2 linked regions of the Schizosaccharomyces pombe genome follow. The protein of the gene in region 2 interacts with the protein of the main gene of each other region in a biochemical or structural test. Each region holds a gene or a part of one and is shown on either strand. Other genes may lie near its edges.

Region 1 (4,601 bases), 170 kb from region 2:
ACCTTAGCCAATCCGCTATCTTCGAAAGGCATTGAGAGAACGCACAGCAATCTTGTGTTTTAGATGGAGCATATTTTGACACCCACAGTCCTTTTTCTAATATTTGTGGGATCATTGGCATTTCAACATTAGGATCTGATGGCAAAAGTCTTGACAAAACCTTTTGAATAAAAGGAGCCGGTGAAAAGCACAACGATTCCAAAGCAAAAGTATGAAGTTTAGAAGGAGTAACCTGTAATACTTCTGTTTTATTTTTCTCAGCTAATGGGGTTATCATATTCGCGGTGGTGGAGGAAAGAACCTCCTTAAACGAAAGATGAGAGGTCTCTTCTAAAATGGCTTCTTCTAAATGCTTTTTCGGAAACCAGAAAACACTCGGCTCAATAGAGCCGGCATACTCTAACATACTCTGGGAATCGGGTGTCGGCCATAATGGATCAAGTAACCTCTCTGGCTTAGTACCGCCTCTTTCTTCACTTACAAATTTGATTTCAGAATTCTTTTTCACAGACTTTGACATGAAAAACGGGTGCATGGATGTGACAGTATTTCGCAGATTACTAGGTGAATCTGCTAAGTTTGAATAATGTAACTCGGAAACAAGGGGGGAAGAATTAACTGTTTCCTGTGAATTAATATTCTCAACTAAAATATTAGTATCTGATGCTTCTCCCGACGACTTAGCAGGCGGAAAGGCAGTTGAGTTGGTATCATTGCTGAGTTTTGGGTGTAATATATTCTCAATTTTTTGACCCAAGGAAGTCGATACTTTAAGCGTTACTAGTAAAGATTGATCATTTTCAAAGTCTTTGCTTTCCTCCATATCCATATCAAAGAATTTCCTCATGTAGCTACGTTCCTTATGAAGTGATCGGCTTCTTCGAGGTTTACGAGACCCTGACAAAGGAGATTTGCCAAAATATTTATTTTCAGATGTGGCAGGGACTGGTGACATTGTGTGTCTCCTCCCAATAGGCTTTTCTTCTTTTGCTTCATTTTCGGATTTTAAATCAGGATTACTCTGCGAATCTGCAGACAAATAGCCTACAATTTGCATAGGGATCTTCAATCACCGCATAAGTTCAATAAAAGTCCTAGTTTGAATGATTTTTAGAAATAGTTTCACAGGTTTCTCAGCTTTCAACAGTTTGGTTAAGGAGAGGTAGACAAAGACTCCGTGTACTAGTGAACGAGTATTGGGAATTCGATAAGCTTATAGTTTAGATTTATTTATTTTTAAGTATGTTTTAGATTACTGAAATTCCTAAATAAAATATCGTTGCACCATTGAAGCAACACGATCCTCCATATTATCATTGTTATGTGTAAGCTGTCAGTAATTGAATAGAGAAGTAGGAGATATAATCGTCACAGTTAAGCTTTTTCATCTCTTTTAAAAACGACTTACCAACTTTTAATGTGAGTTTGCTTATTCCATGCAAAGAAAACCGAGTTCAATAGCTATTAATCCATAGCCTAACATAATCAGTGAAATAGTCAAAAGAAAAATTTGATACTAATATACTTTTTAGAAAATTTTAAAGAATTTGTATAATTACTATTTCTACTACCGCCAATTAGTCGGAACGCTGACTAACTTTTTGTGCATCGTTGTAAAATAAAGGAGAGCAGAATTTCACTTGTTTATGATTGTAGTAAATTTTCTAAGTTAAGTAGTCTATTTACTTCAATTAAGTAAATCTAGATTCAAGAAACGGATCACATTTGTTTATCTGTTTATTTATTTGTTTGTTTTTTAAAAAAAGGTAAGTGTAAAGCTTTCCTTCCACTTTAACTCAATCAGTAAAAAATAATTTATTTTGAAGATGATTTTGCTAACAATTTTATACATTTCGTACTGCAACATTTTGCTAAAATATCCTGTTTATGTTTTGACTTGCACTTTGTTTACTTTTTTAAGGCAACTTCTATAACGTATTGTTCTGCATTACATTACAAAAATAAGAAAATCGCACAAGTTATCGTTAACAAACCTGCCTTTATACTAATTCTGTTTAACCAAAGCACATGTCAATAAACAATCAAAATGGATGAATACATCCCTTTTGACGATATTGTGCGCCAATACGACCCAGATTATACAGGAAAAGTAATTTCTCATTACTTGAAAAATAGTTTCTAATTTTCGACAGGTTTCCATTCAAGCATTTTTAGAAATTGTCGACGATGTTGACGCATTGCGACTTAATCCAGAGGCCCCTTTGCTTGATAATGAGCAAAGACAATCGGCCCAAGATTTTATAAAAGATAACAGTGAGATTGTAGTGTCTACGAGTGAAATTAAGAATTTGTTTTATGAGTTAACTGGTCTTGACCCTGATACCCTTCCTGTAAACAAATTAGCTTTGCGCGAGAATGGGGTATTACCAAGAAAAAGTGTAGCGAAGCCTCAAAAAATATCAGAAAATCGAATAAAGAGAAAAGATATGTTTTATCAAGACGCAAGTTACATAACACCAAGAAAAGGATCACCTTTGAGTCATTCAACCCCTTTGTCAATGTTTCGAACTAAAAATGAATATGGATCAAATAAAGGATTTTCTCATATAAACAAGGAAAATGCTGATGATTCTTTAATTCAACAGCTTTATGAAAGGATAGAGCTTCAAGCGGCAGAATTACGTTCTAAAGACGAGCAAGTTAAAGAACTAAACGCGCGAAATGCAAAATTATTGGAGGAATTGGATTCTTCGGAAGAAGCTTGCAAGTCTTGTTATACCCAAGCGAAAACCTGGGAGAAAAAATTTCGTGAAGCTCTTCGTGATTCTAAGGAGTATGCAGCTCAATTACAAACCATTCATGAAGAGTATGAGCAACAGCAAGCCCATATTGTGAGAATGGAAGAGCTAATCCATGCTGTAGAAAAGGAAAGGAAAACGGTATGATTTTTAAGAATATGCCTTATTCGAGGTAGAGACAAGCCAGTTTACTAATTTGTTTAATAGGAAACAGATTACATGAAGAAAGAATCTTTGTCGGAACAAAAAGAAAGAGGCGCTTTTATGGAGTCAAACATGATTTTAGAAGAAAAGGTTGCACATCTTCAGTTGGAAAACGAGCAGTTGAGACTATTTTTTAAGGAAAAGGCGCCTCAACCCTTCCAAAATCACCCTCCGTATCAAAATCTAAAAATTACTTTTCCCAGCCCTTTCTTTCACATCCCTTACATCCCTAAAACGGAGACTTTGAACGATTCCCAATTTGCCGCTGGTCTCTCTTTACTGGCATCAGAACTTGAAAGTCAAAAAAATCTGTTAAAGAAGTTCGAAAACTTAAAAAAGAAGTCTTCCAAAGATTTTTTATCTCCCTCCACCATACTCTCTAATGCTTTTTCCAAAGTTTCACTCCCCAATTCTTTAATTTTGCGTGTCTTATTTTTTTCATTGTTGTTCATCATCGGAATTCATATTTTTTATTTTTTGTTTTTTCATGTTGCAACAATTCAACAATGGCCTTTTCTTTTTTGGTTACCATCTACAAAATTCGACAATCGTTGGTCTCCGACATGAATCTTAGATTCAAGTTTAATCCAATTTTTATTTTCAAAGCACGGATTCCAAACTTAATTGCTATAATTGAACATTGATTCAAGATTTATGTATATTGGAATAATTGATGTATTTATGGGGCTCTGCTCAATTCAAGACGATCTGTATCTTCTAACTCTTCGCCTGATAGGCAACGGACAAGAAGTTTACATTGAGCTAATAATTAGTCGCATCTCATCTGCGTTTGGTTTTAGGTGTGTCATATGAAAAAGGGTTAAAGCGACGTTTTTCGTTTTTATGTTTGAATTAAGATATTTTCTCTGAGACGAAATATTTTTAGTGTTTATCATTCTTTTCTTGTCTAATCTTCTACTCGCCACTCATTTTTCTGTTCTCTATTTTTTCTTTTTGGATGAATGTCGTTTCTTCTAATAACTTCTTTCTTTCTTTAATCTTCAAGGATAGCCCAAGTCCTATTAAACTCGGATACTATCTTTCTCATAATTTCTCTTTTATAACTAGAAAACTTTTTCACGAATTAATTATTTATTATGCACTTTTAATATTAAATGAAAAGTATTGAATTAAAAAAGGAAAAAACCATCCATTTTTCATATCATGTAAACATTTAGTTTTTTTTCCATACAATAAATCAATTTTTACAGTTACGTTATCATATATAGTGAGATGTACCGTTATTTTGTGAGCGCAAAATAGCTAAGAAAATGAGAGAAAACGTAACCATCCCTGCAATCTACCAAATGGTATGTAAATAGTGAAAGGGAGAAAAAACTCATAAGGTTGAAGTATTTATTATTCATTTAATCAGAATCTCATAATACTATCTCAGAGGGCTTTATTCGTGAGGTTTGAAGAAATTGACCCTTAAATTCTTATAAAAAGGAAACATCTACATACAAAAAGCAGATATTTTCAAAATTCAATCGCTATGGAGAATCACAGGAGTGTATTCTCAAATGTGATAGGTGATATTGTTGAAAAACCGCCGAAGCAACTTGTTGAAGTGAAGAGGTCAGTTCAGCGGCATGCTAGGGGATTTCCAGCCGTTTCACGAACATTGCCGAAACGAGA
Region 2 (5,429 bases):
GGATAAAAGCTTGGGATCCTTGTGTGTTTGGAAAATCTCGATTACAGCCCTCAAAGAGTATGCGTTTTAACCCCAGATTTACTAATATCACTTCTGATAGTGATAGACCTGATAAACGGATTATGATGCTGACTGGACTGGCAGGTGCAGGTAAAACGACTTTGGCTCATGTTATTGCTCATCAGGCTGGATACAAAGTTTTGGAAATAAATGCTAGTGATGATCGTACTGCTCATACGGTTCATGAAAAGGTATCCTCTGCCATTAGCAATCATTCAGCCTTGTCATCTCAACCTACATGTGTTATAGTTGATGAAATTGACGGAGGTGATCCTGCATTCGTACGAGCACTTTTGAGTTTATTAGAGAGTGACGAAAAAGCGACTGAGTATTCTCAAGCTGGTAATTCAAAGAAAAAGAAAAAGTTTAAGAAACTTTGTCGTCCCATTATTTGCATTTGTAATGACTTATATACTCCAGCACTTCGACCTCTGCGACCATATGCTCAAATAATATATTTTCGACCACCTCCTCAAGCATCTCTTGTCGGTCGTTTAAGGACTATTTGCCGAAATGAAAATATAGCTGTTGACAGCCGCTCTTTGACTTTGCTGACAGATATCTATAATTCTGACATTCGAAGCTGTATCAACAGTTTACAACTTTTGTCTTTAAATAACAAACGTATAGATTCTGAGACCATAAAGCTTTTGCAACCAAAAAGTAATTCTTTTAGTACTTCTAGTTTAATCCAATCTCTTTTTTTACAACTTGATAATAAACAAATACGTGCAATTGAAGCATCGCAACCTACTTACTCACATTTGGACGCCCTCCTTGCAAGGATTGATGGAGCTAATGATTCTGAATCAGTCTTGATGAATTGTTTTCATACATACTTAGATCTTCCTTTTACTGATAGCTTACTTTCTAAACCTGCTTTGACAAGCGAGTGGCTTTACTTTTTCGACCAACTTCATTCACAATGTTATAAGGGAAATTATGAGTTATGGAGGTACATACCTTATTCCATTATTCATTTTCATTATTTGTATGCAACTCCTGAAAAGTGCCGCCTTCCGCATCCTCCCAGAAGTGATTTGGAAGCTTTAAAACTTTATCGTACTCGCAAAGAAATATTGGATTCATTCATATCGACGCTAAATGCTTATGAAAATCAAATGCATGGAGAAAGATCAATTCTTTTGGAACTTATCCGTACAATTTTAATTACCATAAATCCTACACTAAAACAGGTAAGGTCTATATATTTTAAAAAAAAAAAAAAAAAAAATTGCGTGAAACAATATTTTTTTAATTTACTAACTTTTTATAGAAAGAAGATTCTATGCCAAGGAGCGCTTTACCTTCTAAAATTGAGCATGCGATTAACATTTTAAATCATTATAATTTGCGTTTCCAACAGCTTCCCGTTGGAGATGGCAACTATGTGTATAGGCTTGAGCCGTAAGTTCCAATATTTTTATTTCTTTCTAGTAATAGCTAACGTTGACAGACCTTTGGATGAATTGGTTTGGGACGCACCTACAAGTTCATATTCTGTTCGTCAAATGCTATCTCAGGAACTGCTCAAGAAAAGGCTCGCAGACATTAAAAAACAAACCCTAACGGACAACCCCACTTCTTCGAATTCTTCAAGAAAGCGCAAAGATTTTAATTCCGGAAAAGCAATTAAGAGAGATTTTTTTGGCCGTATCATTTCTGAACCAAAATCTGAAGCAGTTACATCGAATAATGCAGCTTTGAATACAGGAGATCATCCAGTTTCCATCAAGCATGCAATCAATATCAAATTTCACGATGGGTTTTCCAATGCTGTGAGAAAACCAATATCGTTGAACGAGATTCTGAATTTCTAATCTAATGTGCATTAATATTTTTAATTTCAATCTTTTTGAAATAAAATCAATCATTTAATTTAAAAAAAAATCACTAGTAAAAATAGGTGTATGCGTAAATTCATCTAACCATTATTTCCTGACCGCGACTTCGGCGTGTACTTTGTCAATGGCTTTAAGATTTTGAGTTAACGATCAATACTTGTATTTCTCTATTTTAATTCAAAAATAAAAAAAATACTTTCGTCATTTGAAGTTCTCAAATGTCGGAGATTCATGTGAAAACTGCATTATCACGTCTGGCGGACAAGTATTTACAGAACTCCAAAAACCCTTCTGTCCCTTACACAATTGAAACGATCGTGTCTTTCTTTCAGGAAATAATTCACTCGTAAGCTAATTTCGTGTAAATGATCATGCTAACTGTTAGCATTTCTCCTGATACTTTTCAACTGGACATTGATGACATTCTGTACAAAATATATTCAAAAAGTATGTGAAGGTCTAAATACCAAAATTAACAGTTTTTTAGTTCCCCCCGAAGAAAACAATGATGCTTTATTTTCTAAATTATCTAACTTAGTTTCGCGTTTGAAAAGTCAAACGGTCATTCACAACAAATCTCAAATACTCTATTTCTTATACTTGCTCTCTCCTATTTCTCAGTCATCAAGAGATGTCTCCTCTCATTTATTAGATGAGTCTATTTCCAATCCTATCAATATTCCATCAACAGAAGTGGAATCCTCAAACTTTGGTCAGACACGTTACGATCAAGTTCCTGAAAACCCCCAAATTACTGATTGGGATGAAGGATTGGAAAATGAAAGTTCTATCTCAATTGCTCATGATTCATCTAGGCTAAACCGTAGTACTGAAACTTCTTCTGTTCAACATACTTTGATTACAGAAGCCGATTTGTTGTCTTCAATATCTTACGTACTTCAAGGAATTTCTACCGAATATGTTCAGTTTAAAAATGAATTAGCGCTGTTGTCTAAGAGAATACCTGTCCAATACCTTTTACAGATGCGAGCTCTTTCAGAGACAGGCTTATTATATCAGGAACTAAAGGTTTTCAGCAATTATGATCCTTCGGTCAGTCAATCCATTGATGGTGATAACGTTAGTAAAGCATTTATAAACGATCAGTCTTTAGCTTTACAAAGTTTAAAATCGGTCATTTCTAAAGAGCTGACTAATTTCCTTGCGTTAATTGCATCTCTGGATTCACAAATTCGAGCAGACGCTTCACTTGAGAAGCCTATGGTAACTATCCGGCGTTGCATTGCCTGGACGCAAGTTGCCAAGCTAAAACTTAGAATTTTGTCTTCAGTTGTTAATGATAATATGAACCAGGAGAATAAAAAAAGATTGATTCAAGTGGTTTCGAAATACAATGTGCATGGAGATCCGCTAATACAAGAATTGAGTGATAAAATACTAACAGAAATTACTGGACCTTTATACGAAATGATTGAAAACTGGATTTATAAAGGAGAATTGGTCGACCCTTATCAAGAATTTTTTGTTAAAGAAAAAAATGGTAGTGAAAGCCATGATCATCAAGGGCAAGGTGATGTCGTCTGGAAAGGTAAATATTTTTTAGACAAAGAGTTAATACCAAGTTTCCTTTCTGAAGAACTTGTCGACAAAATCTTTTTGATTGGAAAGAGTTTAAACTTCGCACGTTATGGATGTGGTGATTTTGACTGGGCACAAGAGCATTACCAGAAGCTAGTGAAAAAACTTAGTTATAGAGACCCTCATTCATTAGAAACAGTGGTTGATAAGGCGTATACTGAGTCCATTAATCACTTAGTATACTTGATGGAAGAGGTGTTTCATTTGACTGATCATTTAAAGGCTATCAAAAAATACCTTTTACTAGGACAAGGTGATTTTGTGGACTTATTAATGGAGAGCCTTGGTAATTCTTTGGATCAGCCGGCTAATACTTTGTTCAGACACAATTTGACTGCTTCTTTAGAAAGCGCCATTCGTTCAAGTAATGCATCTTATGAACCTGAATACGTATTAAAAAGATTGGATGCTAGGCTTCTGGAGCTTTCACATGGTGAAACTGGTTGGGATGTTTTTACGTTGGAGTATAAAGTTGATTCACCTATCAACGTAATAATAACACCATATTGCTCTAGACAATACTTAAAAATATTTAACTTTTTATGGAGGTTGAAACGAATTGAGTTTGCCCTTGCCCATTCCTGGAGGCGAGTAAATTTGGGCGAGCGAAATGTCTTCAGAAATCTGGATTACACAAAATTCGAATGGCATTTTGTCAGTTGTCATCTTGCGGAAATGATTCATTTTGTTTGTCAACTTCAATATTATATACTCTTTGAGGTAACGAAAAACCAAAACCCAATTTTGCATTGTATACTAACCATTGGAAACAGGTTATCGAAATTAGTTGGCAAGAATTACAGCTTGCTATGGAGAAACCAAACGCTACATTGGATACGTATATAGAGGCACATGAAAAATATGTTACTAGTATAACTCATAAGGGCTTGTTGGGTGGTGGTAAGTCAAGGAATGAAGATTCCTTCCTTCATCAGCTTCATGATATACTTAAAGTTATCTTAAACTTTCATGATGCAATTGAGTTGTTGTATAACTTTTCTTGCTCCCTGTCGAATAGAATTCGCATTAATGTACCAATTTCGACTGATGCTTTGGCAGCTCAATACACCCCTATAAAAAATGAACTCTCAAATTTTACTGAGGAATTCCAGGTTCGACTTCAAAAATTATTACATGGATTAGCTTCCCATAAGGACCCAGAAATGCGCTTTCTTTCCGTTCGTCTCAATTATAACGAATTCTACGTTTCTCATAGACGGCGTCATGATAAGGATGTTACCAGTCAATAAATGAGGTTCATGCATGATTATTTAAACTTTTATTACTCGTAGTAAACTATAAATTTAGTTATTAATATTTAATGTGATTTAACTATCGTTCAGCGGTGCTGTTTAATTTGCCTTTGCCAACCACCAACACCACCCACCCATTTGGTTAACTTTTTTCAGCAACCACATATACGGATATCATGTCCGCGCCTGCTGGTAGACTTCAACCTCAGCGTTTTGCTGCTTTACCTAATCCCGTTACTGCTGAAAATAAATTTTGGCGGTCATTCAAGGTTCCTGTCGTTGCCAAGGAATATAGTGCTATCACTAGTATTCATTTTTCCGCTGAATCCCCTTATGACTTTGCAGTAACTAGTGGGGCTCGTGTACAAATTTATGGAGCTAGTTCAAGGTCTGTTAAAAAAACAATTGCTCGATTTAAGGATACCGCATATTCTGGTAACATTAGAAAGGATGGAAAACTTTTGCTTGCAGGAGATGCTACAGGACTTGTACAGGTAAGTCTACATTACCAAAAGCTTTGAAAGATAGTTGCAATTAAAACGTTGATAAGCTGCACATGGAATTTTGTTAGTTTAGTTTAGCTGATTGAAGCTGTCATTTGCTAGTATATAGCTAAAAAAATACCATTTTTCCGGTGTTTGTCAACGCTTTAAACTTACTTTAGAGGTTTTCT

What was found. Proteins that work in one complex are often made in the same cells at the same time.
Region 1: the proteins of alp6 (region 2) and kms2 form a complex in vitro, tested with the Schizosaccharomyces pombe proteins (one study listed by BioGRID).

The regions. Positions count from the first base shown.
Region 1 is NC_003423.3:646,436-651,036, reverse strand, and holds kms2 (protein Kms2), read left to right. Parts: upstream 1-2,017; 5' UTR 2,018-2,047; coding exon 2,048-2,110; exon of another isoform or gene 2,111-2,153; coding exon 2,154-2,900; exon of another isoform or gene 2,901-2,966; coding exon 2,967-3,530; 3' UTR 3,531-4,101; downstream 4,102-4,601. Other genes in the region: DNA replication factor C complex subunit Elg1, read right to left, coding at 1-1,057; rba50 (RNA polymerase II-associated protein), read left to right, coding at 4,459-4,601.
Region 2 is NC_003423.3:480,400-485,828, reverse strand, and holds alp6 (gamma tubulin complex GCP3 subunit Alp6), read left to right. Parts: upstream 1-2,000; 5' UTR 2,001-2,122; coding exon 2,123-2,250; exon of another isoform or gene 2,251-2,289; coding exon 2,290-2,351; exon of another isoform or gene 2,352-2,391; coding exon 2,392-4,223; exon of another isoform or gene 4,224-4,276; coding exon 4,277-4,753; 3' UTR 4,754-4,881; downstream 4,882-5,429. Other genes in the region: Ctf18 RFC-like complex subunit Ctf18, read left to right, coding at 1-1,256, 1,337-1,467, 1,517-1,880; U3 snoRNP protein Utp15, read left to right, coding at 4,933-5,250.